Linked DNA regions of Cricetulus griseus. The protein of the gene in region 2 interacts with the protein of the main gene of each other region in a pairwise test. Links are inferred from orthologs where the notes say so. Each region holds a gene or a part of one and is shown on either strand. Other genes may lie near its edges. The genes, in order: FXYD domain-containing ion transport regulator 3, Creb3l1 and Slc35b4.

Region 1 (4,359 bases), on a different chromosome or scaffold from region 2:
TACCACTGAGCCACGCCCCCAGCCCCTCACTGGGGGATTCTAGGCAGGGGCTCTACCGCTGAGCCACGCCCCCAGCCCCTCACTGGGGGATTCTAGACAGGGGCTCTACCGCTGAGCCACACCCACAGCCCCTCATTGGGGGATTCTAGGCAGGGCCTCTACCACTGAGCTGCACCTCCCATCCCCTTTTTACTTTTATTTTGTGACATTTCACTAAATTGTTCAGACCGGCCTTGCACTCTGTATCCTAGCTTGGCCGTGAATTAGCTTATCTTCTGCCTTGGCTTCCCTGGTAGCTTGCCTGACAGGCCTGGGCCGATTTAGATGACTAGAGAAGCTGAAGGGTTTCCCAGGCCTCTGGGGGTGAGCCCAGGGAGATGGAGAAGTCTGTGAGAGCATATGGGACACCCCTGCACCCTCAGTAGCTCCATTCCTTACAAGTGTGTGCTTTCCTGTGGGTAAAAAGGCTTAGCTCTGAAGGGTGACGCTGGGGCTGCTGCTGCTAGGGATTGAAAAGGGAACGTACAAGGTCACTGCAAAGTGCCCAGCATGTGAGGAATGGGGACAAGTGTTAGCACTCACTATCTTGTGTGTGTGTGGTGTGTGTGTGTGTGTGTGTGTGTGTGTGTGTGTGTGTGTGTGTACATGAGCTCACGACAGGTGAGCAGGGCAAGTGGGGGAGGTGCTCAGAGAGAAGGAGCTGACTAGAGGCCTCTAGGGTAACGGAAAGGCAGACTATTAGGCCAGCGCTGTATGGAAGGGGCCCTGTGCTGAGTGATTCTCACTGGGGAACTGTGGAGCGTTTGCTGCTGAGAGAAGCCCAACAGGGCCAAGAGCTGGGATAATACGGAGCGAGCGCAGAGGCCTAGTCAAGGGTGAAGGCTAGGGTAGGGGGCAAAGATTGGACTTGAGAGAGTGCCCAGTGGGGTCTGAAGGGACAGACCCAAGGGTGGGGCAGGAGACAGGGTAAGACTAAAGCCAGGATCCCCCTCTGCACACGCCCCATCAACTTGGCATCATTTCTGCCATACACCCACCCAGGAGCCCAGGGAATCTGCTCAGGCCCCAGAGAGAAGCCGGCAGCGTGTTTTGGGCAGGCTCCAAGCTGTCTGTGGGAGCCACTCCCGGAACCCGGGCCTCTTGCCACCTGGCTCCTGACACCCTACTCCCCAAAACACCCCGAGGCCCTCACAGTTCTGAGTTATGAACAGCTAGTGAGGGACGAGGCTTTGTTGAAACCCTGCCTTCTGGACCAAGTGATCTTGGCCATCAGCTTTCATCTCTTAGAGCCTCAGTTTCCCCATCATACGGATAGGGGTGACAAGCTGGATGTGGAGGTGGGCACCTCTAACCTTAGCATTTGGAGAGCTGAGGCAGGAGGATGGCAAATTCAAGGCCGGCCCGGACGTAGCAAAACACCACTCCACCTCTTCTCTCCAAGAACAGATTCATTATGACAATGACAATGGCTGTTCCTTTGTGGAGCGTGAGTTCTCACCCAGCCCCCACTTGACTTTGGGGCTCCTTATCTCCCAGCCTGTGAGTGAGCACCAGTCACTACCAGCCTTCCTGTCTGGACCTTGGGCTGTGCTCCTGGTGAACAGCGGGGTGGGATAGAGAAGCAGAGGTGCGGGGCCTTGCGTCCTGGTCACCCCGCTAAAGTTCTGTTCTCTGGACTCCTCTAGATCAACGCTGCAACATGCAAGAGGTCGCTCTGAGCCTGTTGGTCCTCCTAGCAGGTGGGTATCAGGCCACCAAGCTGCCCTTTCCCTTGGACCTCTCAGCTGTGTGGTGACAAGCTGTGTGTGTGTGTGTGTGTGTGTGTGTGTGTGTGTGTGTGTGTACGTATGCATACATACATGCTCGCAGCCTCGTGCATGTGGGGAGATGCCATTTAATTTTTGATGACAGCAAGCCAAAGGCTCGGCCCGGTACTCTTGTGTGCCACGGCCTCCCTACATGGCCTTCCCAGTTGTGCCTAGGACCCTAGCAGCAATGTAGCAGGTAACTGGAATGCCTCGAGCCTCAGTTTCCCCTCCTCTGAAAACACAGAGAACAGCACATAGTCATAGGGCCTTCGTGAGGCTTCAATGCGTTAATGTTTGAACAACAATATGGCAGGGCCTGGGTGGAGTGGGCCCCAGGCATTCATGCCTCAAATATAATTAAGCATTGTTTTTCTCCCTTTAGCAGAACTCAGGCCCGGGACGAAGCTGAACAAGCTTCAGCCAGAATTTAATCCTTGGCCCTTGCTTCTGTCGTGTTTCCTCCTTTCCCCCCTCGGCCTCTTTTGTGTGTGCATGACTATGTGCGTTCATTATGTGTGCAGGTGTGCTTATGTCTGTGTGCCTGGGGTGTGGCAGCCAGGGGATGGCTTTTGGCATCATTTCTGAGGAGCTAGCCACTTTTTTAAAAATATTATTTTATGCATATGTGAGTTTTGCCGTTTGAGTGCTTGGTGACTGTGGAAGCCAGAAGAGGGTGTCAGGTCCCCTGGAACCAGGGTTACAGATGTTTGGGAGTCATCATGTGGGTGCTGGGAACTGAACTCGGGTCTTCTGCAAGAGCAATCAGTCGTCTTAACCACTGGGCCATCTCTCTCCACCACCACCCCTGCTTTTCCGCTTTTTACCTTACCATTCTTTGGACACAAGTTTCATTCTGTTTGGGAAAGGAATGTAAGAATGAATAGAAGTTGCCAACGGTGCGTTATTTCAAAGAGGTCAGCGGCCCTGCTAACTGTGGGGTGTGGCTGTGAGGGCTGTGGGCTGTGGGCATTGCTGGCGTGGAGAAAGCTGTCCTGGGAACAGAGACCATCTGCTACCTGGAAGGGCAGAGCCTCTGGAAACATTCACTCAAACAGTCCCAAAATGTACCCGGAGTAGGATCGGTTTCCGGTGGCAAAATGCTGGCATGACTCACAGGTGAGGAGTGGGTGAGTGAGCCCACATCTCCATGAAGGCGCGTGTCCAGGTGGGACTAGCCAGCAGCTAGATCCTGTACACTTTGGAGGTGGGGCTGCTCCCCCACCTCCACATGGAACATTTTCCCTCAGGCAACAAACCTCCATGGATCCTGCTGAGGGCCCTTCTAGGGCCACCATAGTCATCGCTTGTCCTTACTTGCCCCCACAGGCCTGCCTTCTCTGGATGCCAATGACCCCAAAGGTGAGTCAGAGCCCACCCCTCCACCCCCCTCACCCTAGACCCTGCTGGCGCCTCGGATTCATGGGTGTGTCCTGTCTCTCTTTGCAGATAAGGACAGCCCTTTCTACTATGGTAAGAACCGTGTCCCCTCCTCTCTTCTTCTCAGTCCCACACATTATTTTGTGCCAAGCGGCCCACACAAGGGTGACTGACAGTTCACAGTGACCCAGGGACCACGACAGGAGAAGGTGGGAAATGGGTGGTTGAACATCCAGATAGGTTACAGGAATAGCCGTGAGGGGGAATTCAAGACAGACACAGGACTGAGTCCAGTCCACAAGAGGCATTAGGTTTAGACCAAACACCAGAATGCTGGTCATGAAACTTTTCCCAGACAAGGTAGGGAATTCTACCCCACTCTTCTCCACTTCCCCCTGCCGCTTGCCCCCTGCCCTCTCGTTCTCCACGGACCCTCACCCCTGCTCCAGCTATCATCCTCAGATACAGAAGGCAACCGCCGATCTCATGACCTGTGCGCCTGCTGGTTCTTCTGCCTGGACCACTGTCTTCCGTGTGTCTTCAGGGCCACCTCTGCCTCCCTGCAGATCTCCGTTCCAGTGGGACCCTCTCAGAGAGCCCTTGCTTGGTCACTCTCTCTAAAGACCCTCATCTTGACTTCCTGTCTCCACACTGATCTTTTCCCTTCAGATGGCCTCTCTGTCCCTGAATGGACATGGAATATCTTGTTTACTTGGTTAGGAACGGCAATGTGCGCACTACTGGGCTGGGGTTTTGCTTTTCCCTTTCACTGCTCTCAAGTTAGATAGACTGGGTGGGGGACATAGGCTGTCTTTGACATTTTCTCTGCTTCCCTCTCAGATTGGTACAACCTCCGAGTCGGCGGGCTCATCTGTGCAGGGATTCTCTGTGCCGTGGGCATCATAGTCCTTTTGAGTGAGTACAGGAGGGGCCGTTGGCGGGGGGGTGGGGGGTGAACAGGGCAGGGACTTGCGTTCCTCCCTCTGACCACATCCGTCTCCAACAGGTGGAAGGTGCAAATGCAAGTTCAGCCAGAAGCCCAGGTGAGACGGGTTCTGGGCGAGACGGGTTCTGGGCACGCCCAAAAGGGCTAAGCCTTGTGCAAAGAGAGCACAGGCCTGGGGGCTCTGCCCTGAGGTCTTCTGGGCTTGGCTTCATGCAAACTATCCTAAGA
Region 2 (4,259 bases):
GGCTGCCTCATCTGCCATGGCTGCTGCTGCTGCCGCTATGGCCACCCCACCACTGCTGGGTGTCAGCCCCATCTCCAGGCTGCCCATCCCTCACCAGGTGAGCCTAGGGACCACTAATGGGGCTGAGGGAGGGAAGTAGGCTGAGGGGAGACAGAGGGGAGTGACACCCAATGTCCTGGACTCCACTCCAGGGCTCCATGAACTGAGAACCTTGGGGACTAAGGTCCTCTGCCTCCCACACTGACCACCCCTTTACCATCCTCCAGTAGGCACAAACAGCAGTGCCCACCAAGCATGCTGGGCCCTCCCTGCATGCAGAGAAAGCTTGAAGGGCACCAGGCAGGACTGAGGTTAGTTTTGAAGTCAAGATACCCCCCACCCCGGGGGTACTTCCTTTCCTGTTAAGTTTCAGGATTTGGAGAAAGATGAACATGTAAATGCAAAAAATAGTGTTATATTTTAGTCTGTATTTAGATTAATAAGCTGCACTCATAACAAACCCTACGTCCACTTCCAGAGTGTATAGGGAACCTCACATTGCCTTCTCTCTTTTTTCTTCAGCTTCCTTCCATGTAAAAGGTGCAAGCCACAAGGCCTAAAATTCTATAGCTTAACAAACAAACAAACATTAATCCCTAGGCAGGGGGGTTGCCTCCTGCTGACCACCTGGGTTCAAAGTAAGCAGTCTTAAGCAAGAAAGGTCACCCTTCCTGCTCCCAAGGTTCCAGGGAGCTGATTGACAACCAGCTACATCCTTAGGGATTCCAGAACTGGCTTAGCTAAAGTCAGGGGGAGGAAGGGATCACAGTGGAAAAGGAAACGGAGGCTCCCAGGAGTTAAGCCACAAATCACAGTCAGAAATTTCGAAGCCGCTTTCCAAGTTTGGTCTGTCAGACCCTAGAGTGGAGGGTTCCCACTATAACCAGTGCAGGCCACTGGGGCCAGTCTGTAGAGAGCCATATGAACCACTAAAGTGCCTCTGCCACTCTCCATCACAGTCCCCTCATCTGTAGTGCTGACACTGAGCTGGGTGTAGACCAGGGTATGGCCAAGTTCCTGGACACCCAGCACTATCCCTGATTCTTCCTCATTGTTCTAAGTTCATCACTCTGTCCCTCACACAGTGTAGTGATCTCTGCTACCAGCAGACCCAGTGGGGAGAGACAATCCCAAGAGCCACAGCCTCCTCACTGAGATCACCATTAACGGGCATGTTGGTGATGTTCACATGTACAAAACCACACATGTTCCTGAAGCCCTTTCTAGAACAATACTTTGGAATTTAAATAAATAAGAATGTACATCTGAGCTGGGTGGTGGTGGTGCTTGTGCCTTTAATCCCAGCACTCAGGAGGCAGAGACTGACGGATCTCTGTGAGATCAAGGCCAACCTGGTCTACAGAGCAACTTCCAGGACAGCCACGAAGAAAAACAGAGAAACCCTGTCTCAAAAAAAAAAAAAAAAATGTACATCTGTTTTCACCTGTGCCTTACTTGAAACCCCTCAAGGGCTCTCACTGCTGCAAGCTTCCTTATATGTACTCGACTTCAATTTGTGTCCCAGGATCCATGTCATGTTTCAACTTTCTCTGAGCCTTAGCCAGTTAATTCCTCCTGAACTATTCTTCTCATTCATCCAACAGTTAGAGTGAGACTAACATGACCTCCTGTGCTCATGGTAACCACATACCAAGGCCTACATGGCTTTCATAGTTGGTGAAGGGGCAGCCTCTGTCTACCTGGAAGCTGGCATGGCCCCAGATGCCACAGGAACTATGCATACCTCCTGAGATCCAGTTCTCACCTACAGTGTGTAGCCACCTTCTCTGCTCTTGGGTGTAGTATGGCTTGTCTAAGCATAAGAACTTGCCTCTCTGTTCTTTCTGGGCTGAGCCCAGGACTCTTGAGACCAGCCGTTGTTCCAAATATTCCGGAGGGAGGGAGGAGTGTGAATGACATGATGAGGATTGTTCCCCTGGGCAGGTGATGGAGCTGAACCTGTCTCTTCCTCAGGCCCCAGGAGAAATGACTCAGCTGCCAGTGATCAAAGCAGAACCCCCAGAAGTGAGCCAGTTTCTCAAAGTGACACCAGGTAAGTATGTACAGGAGACTCTTTCTGATCCCAGACAGGCACTCCCTCTGTCCAGACCACGCCTGTCCCTCAGAACTCCCACTTCGCTCCCAGATGTTCTCACCTCCCCAGTAAATGAGAATTCTTTAGCTATCTATGCTCCCTCTTTTTCCTCCAGTCTTTCTCTACCCAGTCTTCAGCTGCCATCGTTCTACCAACGCCAGTCCATTTGCTGATCTTCTAACATCCACTCACAAACTGAAGGCCACTTTATAGTCAGTCATCCTTCCTTCCATCCATACATCCATCCCTTACTCAACCATCCACTCATCTAACTATCCATCCACCCATCTACCCACTTATCCATCCAAATATCCGTCCATCCATCCACCCATCTGTCTATCCACTTATCCATCGATCTATGAATCCATCTCTCACTCTACCACCCACACATCTATACATTCATCTACTCATTCACCCATCTCCACATTCATCCATTCGTCTAACTAACCAACCATTTATATGCCCATATATCCATCAAACCATCCACCAAATATCCATAAATTCATCCATCTACCCATGTAACCATCTACCTAAACACCCACCCGTTTATCTATCCGTCCAACCAACGTTTATTGGGTACCATCTTAATTGTTCCAGGCATTGCCAAAGCAAAGAAAGAAGACAGTCTCTGTACCCGAGTAGATCACATGGTTCCTAGGGTCACAGACTCAGCAGTGATATGGGTGTGCAGATAGCAAATCCACAGGGAGCCTGTACAGCTCATTGGGCCGAGGGAGCATGGTCAGCTTCTGTGAATTACTGGAATGAGAAAGGGTAGCAGAATCATTCCAATCTCACCACATTAATTTGTGAATACTGATTCAACATCTATATACATGTGTCAAGCCCTGGGCTAAGTATTGTAAAACTGGACATATGAATAAGATACTGTTGGTGCTTACATGTTGAAGAGCAGCCAGAACACAGACAAGGCGTGAGAAAGAACTTGTGTTAAGTCACCTCGTACTGTGGAGTTCCTAAAGCAGTTCCCCCACTTACCAGCTCACTGCACCCTTGCGGCTTGGAGCTGACTTTTTTCAACCTTATTCAGTAGATGAGGGAAGTGAGGCTGGGGAGCTCACCAAGACCACATGTATTGGAGTCATTACAGTCAGAACTTGATCTCAGGTCTGTGGATTCCAAGCCCTTCATTCTTTTTGGAGTGGGATCCATAAGAGACACACAAGCATCAGAGGAAGGAGAGAGGCCTGATGTGGGTGCCAACCTGCGCCAAACCCTCCACTCCATGGCCATGGAGCCCAGGTTTCCACACCTAGAGCTACCTGGGAGTTATGTGCCACCCCCAGAACTTTCCCAGCATCTCTGCTAGCTGCTGAGCCTGAGACACCTCTTTCTGATGCTTGCTCAGTGTCAGTCGTCCTGCTGCTCTAGCCATGAAGGGGACGGTGTGGAGGAGGAGCATCACTCCTCACCACTCTGCTGCAATCCCGACACCTGCCATCCTGTTCCTGAGATTGGATCAGTATTTTAGAGTCAGAGAAAGGAAAGGGTAAGGACTGGTCCACCTGAGCCCGGTGGATCTGCGTGGGGACCTTAGTCCCCTCTTGGCTTAGAGAGAACCTGAATCCTGCAGAGCCACAGGCAGGGAAGCATATGGCCCAGGAGCCCCTCATCGAGGTTGCAGGGGGCTTCCTCTGAGCTATCAGAGATAGGCAGTACTCAGCCGTCATCTTTTTGTGTGCCAGATGTCTTCCTGGGACTGCCAAGGGCCTTCTGATACTCCAGCCGAGGTTAAGTGCCTATAGGCACATTCCTTTGGTGACAGGGCTGGCACAGCTCATGTTCAGCTGAACTCAGTGTCACACAGACACAGGGTACAACCCTACTATACTAACCTAGCCCTCTACTTTTTGCAGAGGACCTCGTACAGATGCCTCCAACACCCCCCAGCAGCCATGGCAGTGACAGTGATGGCTCCCAGAGTCCTCGCTCTCTGCCCCCCTCCAGCCCTGTCCGGCCCATGGCCCGCTCCTCCACGGCCATTTCCACATCTCCGCTCCTCACTGCCCCTCATGTAAGCACCTAGGGGTGGGCTGACCCTGGAGGTGAGATAAGGAGTACGTTCAGCTAGTGCCATGACCAGTGAAGGGGTCAGGATACCCCA
Region 3 (4,259 bases), on a different chromosome or scaffold from region 2:
CACATACTACCCGACTGTAAATCCCATTAGATGTTATCCCTTTTCCTAAGGCGTTCTTGTCCTTGTTTTTCAGATACAGTATGTTCAAGTATACCTCCATTGCCCTGGTGTCTGCAGGGATATTTATTTGCACTTTCATGTCAGCAAAGCAGGTGGTAAGAGTCATTTGTATTCACTACTTGTCATCGGGCCCCTTACCAGGTATCTATTAATAAAGGAATTAGAGTGCTTACATAATACAGGAACTAAACTCTGAAAGAGGTGCAGAAGGAAGTGGAAAGCATAAATATCCCCCTGCATCTCAGATGTTGTTTGCCATTCTGGCCTCTGTACCTAGTATATTTTCTTATTTCCTAGACTTCCCAGTCCAGCTTGAATGAGAAGGATGGATTCCAGGCATTTGCACGGTGGTTACTGGGCAAGTACAGCAGTTACAAAAAGCTAATTACCTCTGCACTTTTGTTTGCTGAGTTTTCTCCGGTGGGACATGTTTCTTGGCAAGATGTTTAGGCTAAACAAATTATGCCAAGGAGGAGAGTGGCACCTGGGACCAATATGTCTCTGAATCTCAGTGTTCAAAAAGTTAAAAGGCCAGTGTTCACTTTTTTGGGGTTTTTTTGTTGTTGTTGTTGTTTTGTTTTTGTTTTTTGTTTTTTTTTTTTTGGCATCGTGTTCTACGTGGGTCCACGTTTCCCATGGTTATCACTGGCATAGAGAGGTCTGTTACTCTCTTCAGGAGTACTGTATAGGGAGTCTTCTGTTTCCTAGTGGCCAGTCCACTGAGTAGAAGTACCTGCAAAAAAAAGGGTGACTTAGAACTCTTGACTCTCAGTTTCCCAGGGACACAGGGGCTTTTTTCTTCTTAACTTAACTGTGTTCCATGTGACAGTGTTCCCAAATCAACTCTCCTGAGAATTTTTAAAAATACAAGTATCTCTGTGTGGAATTAATTAGACAACTCCTACAGGGCCTCATCCTCACTTGAGTTTGGAGGGGAAATGTTTGCCGTAGTAACAGGAGTGGAGTCACACTGATTGGGTGGAAGAAAATAGCAGCAAAGCCTGTGTATCTTGGCTTTGGACTTTAACCCTTTAGCTGCTGTTCTTCATAGAAAAGCTCTCTGCACTACAGGGAAAATGCTTACCCAATAGGAAAATTCTCAAAGATATGAACGTACAATTTATAGCAAAAATTCATGTCCAGTAATCTACCCTTGTAAGCTAATAATTACCCTAGTAATCAAAGAAAACCAAACTTTTCATTTGTGACTTACCATATGGGCAAGATGGTAAATGACTGTCACTGCCAGGAGTGTACAGTAACAGCCATTTTCATAAAAGCCGTTAGTAGACAGAGTATAATCGATTGCCTTTTTCAAAAAACATTGTGTATTGAGTTTTTTAAAGGTCTTAACGGTTTTTTTTTTTAAACATTTGACTCAGCAGTTCCATTTATGAAAAATTATCCTAAGGAAATAACTAACATTTTAAGTATTTCCGTGTATTGATTTCAGAGAAATAACTGGAAACCTAACTGGTCTCATTGCAAGACATTTAACTGTGTTGCAACTACGTGATAGGGTGACGTGTGGGCCCTAAGTCACACTTTCCAAACCCATGGAAGAGAGAAGCCAGGTGTAAAGGGTGTGGACACTCTTACTCCATCTTGGTAGACAGAAACATGCGTAAGGGTGTGGAAATGGGAAGCTAGAGAGGGTTTCATGGTAGCATTGTGGTTTTGAAATTTGCATGTCCTAGTGTGGCAGTTACAGAACTATAGATAGTACTGTCACCTTAAGAAAGTAGACCAAAAGGCACCTTGTAACCTGATCCTGATTTTTAGGCATTGGAGCACTGACCTTTGCCCTGCTGATGTCAGCAAGGATGGGCATATTCCAAGAGACTCTATACAAACAGTTTGGGAAACATTCCAAGGAGGCATTATTTTATAATGTAAGTAACTTTTTGAACCCTGGGAAGGTGAAAATTTCTGATTTATGATGTGTTATGCAGAATGAAGTCCTACCATAACTGACAGATTGTATTTTCGTTAGTAACCAGCCCAGAGACCAGTGCACTGAGGTACTTTAGGCAGGGGACAATGTGTATTTTGAGTTAATCATCTGAGATGATCATGATCTACCAAATAAAACATTTAAGGAACAAGGAGCCAAGGCCTGCAGAGTCCCTGTAGGTAAAATTGTTAAAATTAATATGGAAATCCAGAAAGAGACAATGAGTTCCAAGGCAGGAAGTCAGGAGTGTGATGTCAATGGGGGGTGGGGATTCAGGGCCTGAGTTCCCCAGAGGGGCTGTGCTCACATGATTGTTCAGTTCAATGCATGCACTTGCCAAGCTTCTTCGCTTTAAGGGGTGACCTAGCACCCTCTCCTGTAGCTTCCCTCTACCCCTCCTTCATTGCTATTGAAATATGTCCAGAGAACCCCCCTGTCCCAGGCCAGGGCAAGAGAGAGAGTTCCCTCTCTGTACAATTAATCTGAACAGGCAGTTTTACACATTCACGCGGAGCTAGAGTTTGTGGCTAGGGATTTTTAAAAAGTAAGCATTTTATTTGGCTTGTATCTTTCTTCTTTTCTTTTCTTTCTTTTTTAAAGATTTATTATGTATACAGTGTTCTGCCTGCATGTGTGCTTGTACACCAAAAGAGGGCTCTGGAAGAGCAGCCAGGTCTCTTAACCGCTGAGCCATCTCTCCAGCCCCTGGCTTGTATCTTTCATTGAGAACAATGCCAAGCATAGTGACAGCTCAGCAAGGGTCACGTGACGTGACCTCACATTGCAGTGCTGTAGTGAGGAGGGTGGTGGTTGTCAGGGACCTTTTGTGTCCTCTTCCTCTTCGGCCTCATCGCATCATTGGTTTTTCCCTGACCTCAGACTGCCTTCAAATCTCTTTTTGTACTAATTTCTGAATTCTTTGCCATCTGTGTGGTCCTTGTCATTTTCAAATCCAGTATGGAGCAAGTCTTTTGGGGCAGAATAACTGCTGAAGCCTCCCTTTCCCTTTGGGGGAAGGGAGGACCCTACTTCTTTGGTTTTCTCGTTGGTGACCATCAGACTCCATAAGATGTCACGCCATATGGTGTCAAGGGCACAAGGCACTGGTAATTTACCTTAGAGGGGCTAACTTGCTAATTGGACAGCCTCAAGTCATCGTAAAGCTGTTCTGTGTTGCTTTGTATTTACCTGTGTGTGATGTGTTTCTTCCCACAGCACGCCCTTCCACTCCCGGGTTTCATCTTCTTGGCTTCTGATATTTATGATCATGTTGTTCTGTTCAATAAGTCTGGTAAGTCTGGGGTCATGTGGCAGTATTACTTGCCAGTTTCTGCATTTGGCTCGACTACAGCTTTATCTCCTGTTCATCAGAACCTTTGCACCTTCCAGGTGTCCAGATGGATGGTGCTGTTAGTCAGTAGTCCCAGCAGCAAGGGCTTCTCTGTGCTCTTTCCTGCTCCCTGCAAATAAGAATATCCTCACCTCTCCTCGTTTCCTTTGGGATTGTGTGTTTGTATTTGAACATGGATTGTTACATGTTTTGAGAATGCAGACAAGCAGTACCAGCACTCAACTGGAACGGGAGCCCTTGAGGTTGGGTGGCAGCCGGCTGTCTCTGTGTCTGTCCTCTGCCATGAAAGGCAGAGCTGCTCAGAGATCTAGGCTGCCTTGGCACCAAGCAAGAGGAAGCAAAATGATGACAGGGCTTATTTCCCTAGCTACAGATTAAATAAACAAGATAAATTAATTACCAACAAAATGAAATTTAAAAAAAGAATATATGAAGGTAAGATGTTGCTTCTTCAAGTGCCTACTTGGTAAATTGATGACAGTCACCTTGAAAGATGTACAATCACTTGTACAATCTGATCATCCAGGAATGTTACACAGATAGGTGAACACGTACGAAAACCCTTTTGGGAGGGAGGGGGAACTGGGATTAGAATGTAAAAAAATAATAATAATAAAGAAAACCCTTTTTTAAATCAAAGGTTTATGTTGTTAACACCACAGGTAGTAAATCATTTTGTACTGTGTTGGGCCTGCTCTGCATGTGCAGCGTTGTGTCTGTCATTTGGCCTAAAATGTGTTACAGAAGTAGGTAGTATGGGAAAGAGTCCACAAGGCTCTGACTTCCAAAGCACCATTTCTCACTATTAATACCATAGTTGTGAAGATCTCGAAAGTCCCCACAGAGCTCTGACTCTTAGTGTAGACTGGAATCAAGGTGAATGAAGGCATGGAC

The links.
Region 1: the proteins of Creb3l1 (region 2) and FXYD domain-containing ion transport regulator 3 interact in binary tests that used the Homo sapiens proteins (3 or more experiments, as listed by UniProt). The two-hybrid records come from large-scale screens. The link is inferred for Cricetulus griseus from reciprocal best matches to the Homo sapiens genes CREB3L1 and FXYD3.
Region 3: the proteins of Creb3l1 (region 2) and Slc35b4 interact in binary tests that used the Homo sapiens proteins (3 or more experiments, as listed by UniProt). The two-hybrid records come from large-scale screens. The link is inferred for Cricetulus griseus from reciprocal best matches to the Homo sapiens genes CREB3L1 and SLC35B4.

The regions. Positions count from the first base shown.
Region 1 is NC_048602.1:4,719,551-4,723,909, forward strand, and holds the start of FXYD domain-containing ion transport regulator 3, read left to right. Parts: upstream 1-1,699; coding exon 1,700-1,739; intron 1,740-3,134; coding exon 3,135-3,167; intron 3,168-3,254; coding exon 3,255-3,278; intron 3,279-4,025; coding exon 4,026-4,100; intron 4,101-4,191; coding exon 4,192-4,228; intron 4,229-4,359. UniProt on the Homo sapiens protein: Associates with and regulates the activity of the sodium/potassium-transporting ATPase (NKA) which transports Na(+) out of the cell and K(+) into the cell.
Region 2 is NC_048599.1:84,749,422-84,753,680, forward strand, and holds part of Creb3l1 (cyclic AMP-responsive element-binding protein 3-like protein 1), read left to right. Parts: coding exon 1-97; intron 98-2,013; coding exon 2,014-2,092; intron 2,093-4,011; coding exon 4,012-4,169; intron 4,170-4,259.
Region 3 is NW_023276806.1:193,809,161-193,813,419, forward strand, and holds part of Slc35b4 (UDP-xylose and UDP-N-acetylglucosamine transporter), read left to right. Parts: intron 1-73; coding exon 74-155; intron 156-357; coding exon 358-418; intron 419-1,842; coding exon 1,843-1,952; intron 1,953-3,229; coding exon 3,230-3,305; intron 3,306-4,259. UniProt on the Homo sapiens protein: Antiporter that transports nucleotide sugars across the endoplasmic reticulum (ER) membrane in exchange for another nucleotide sugar.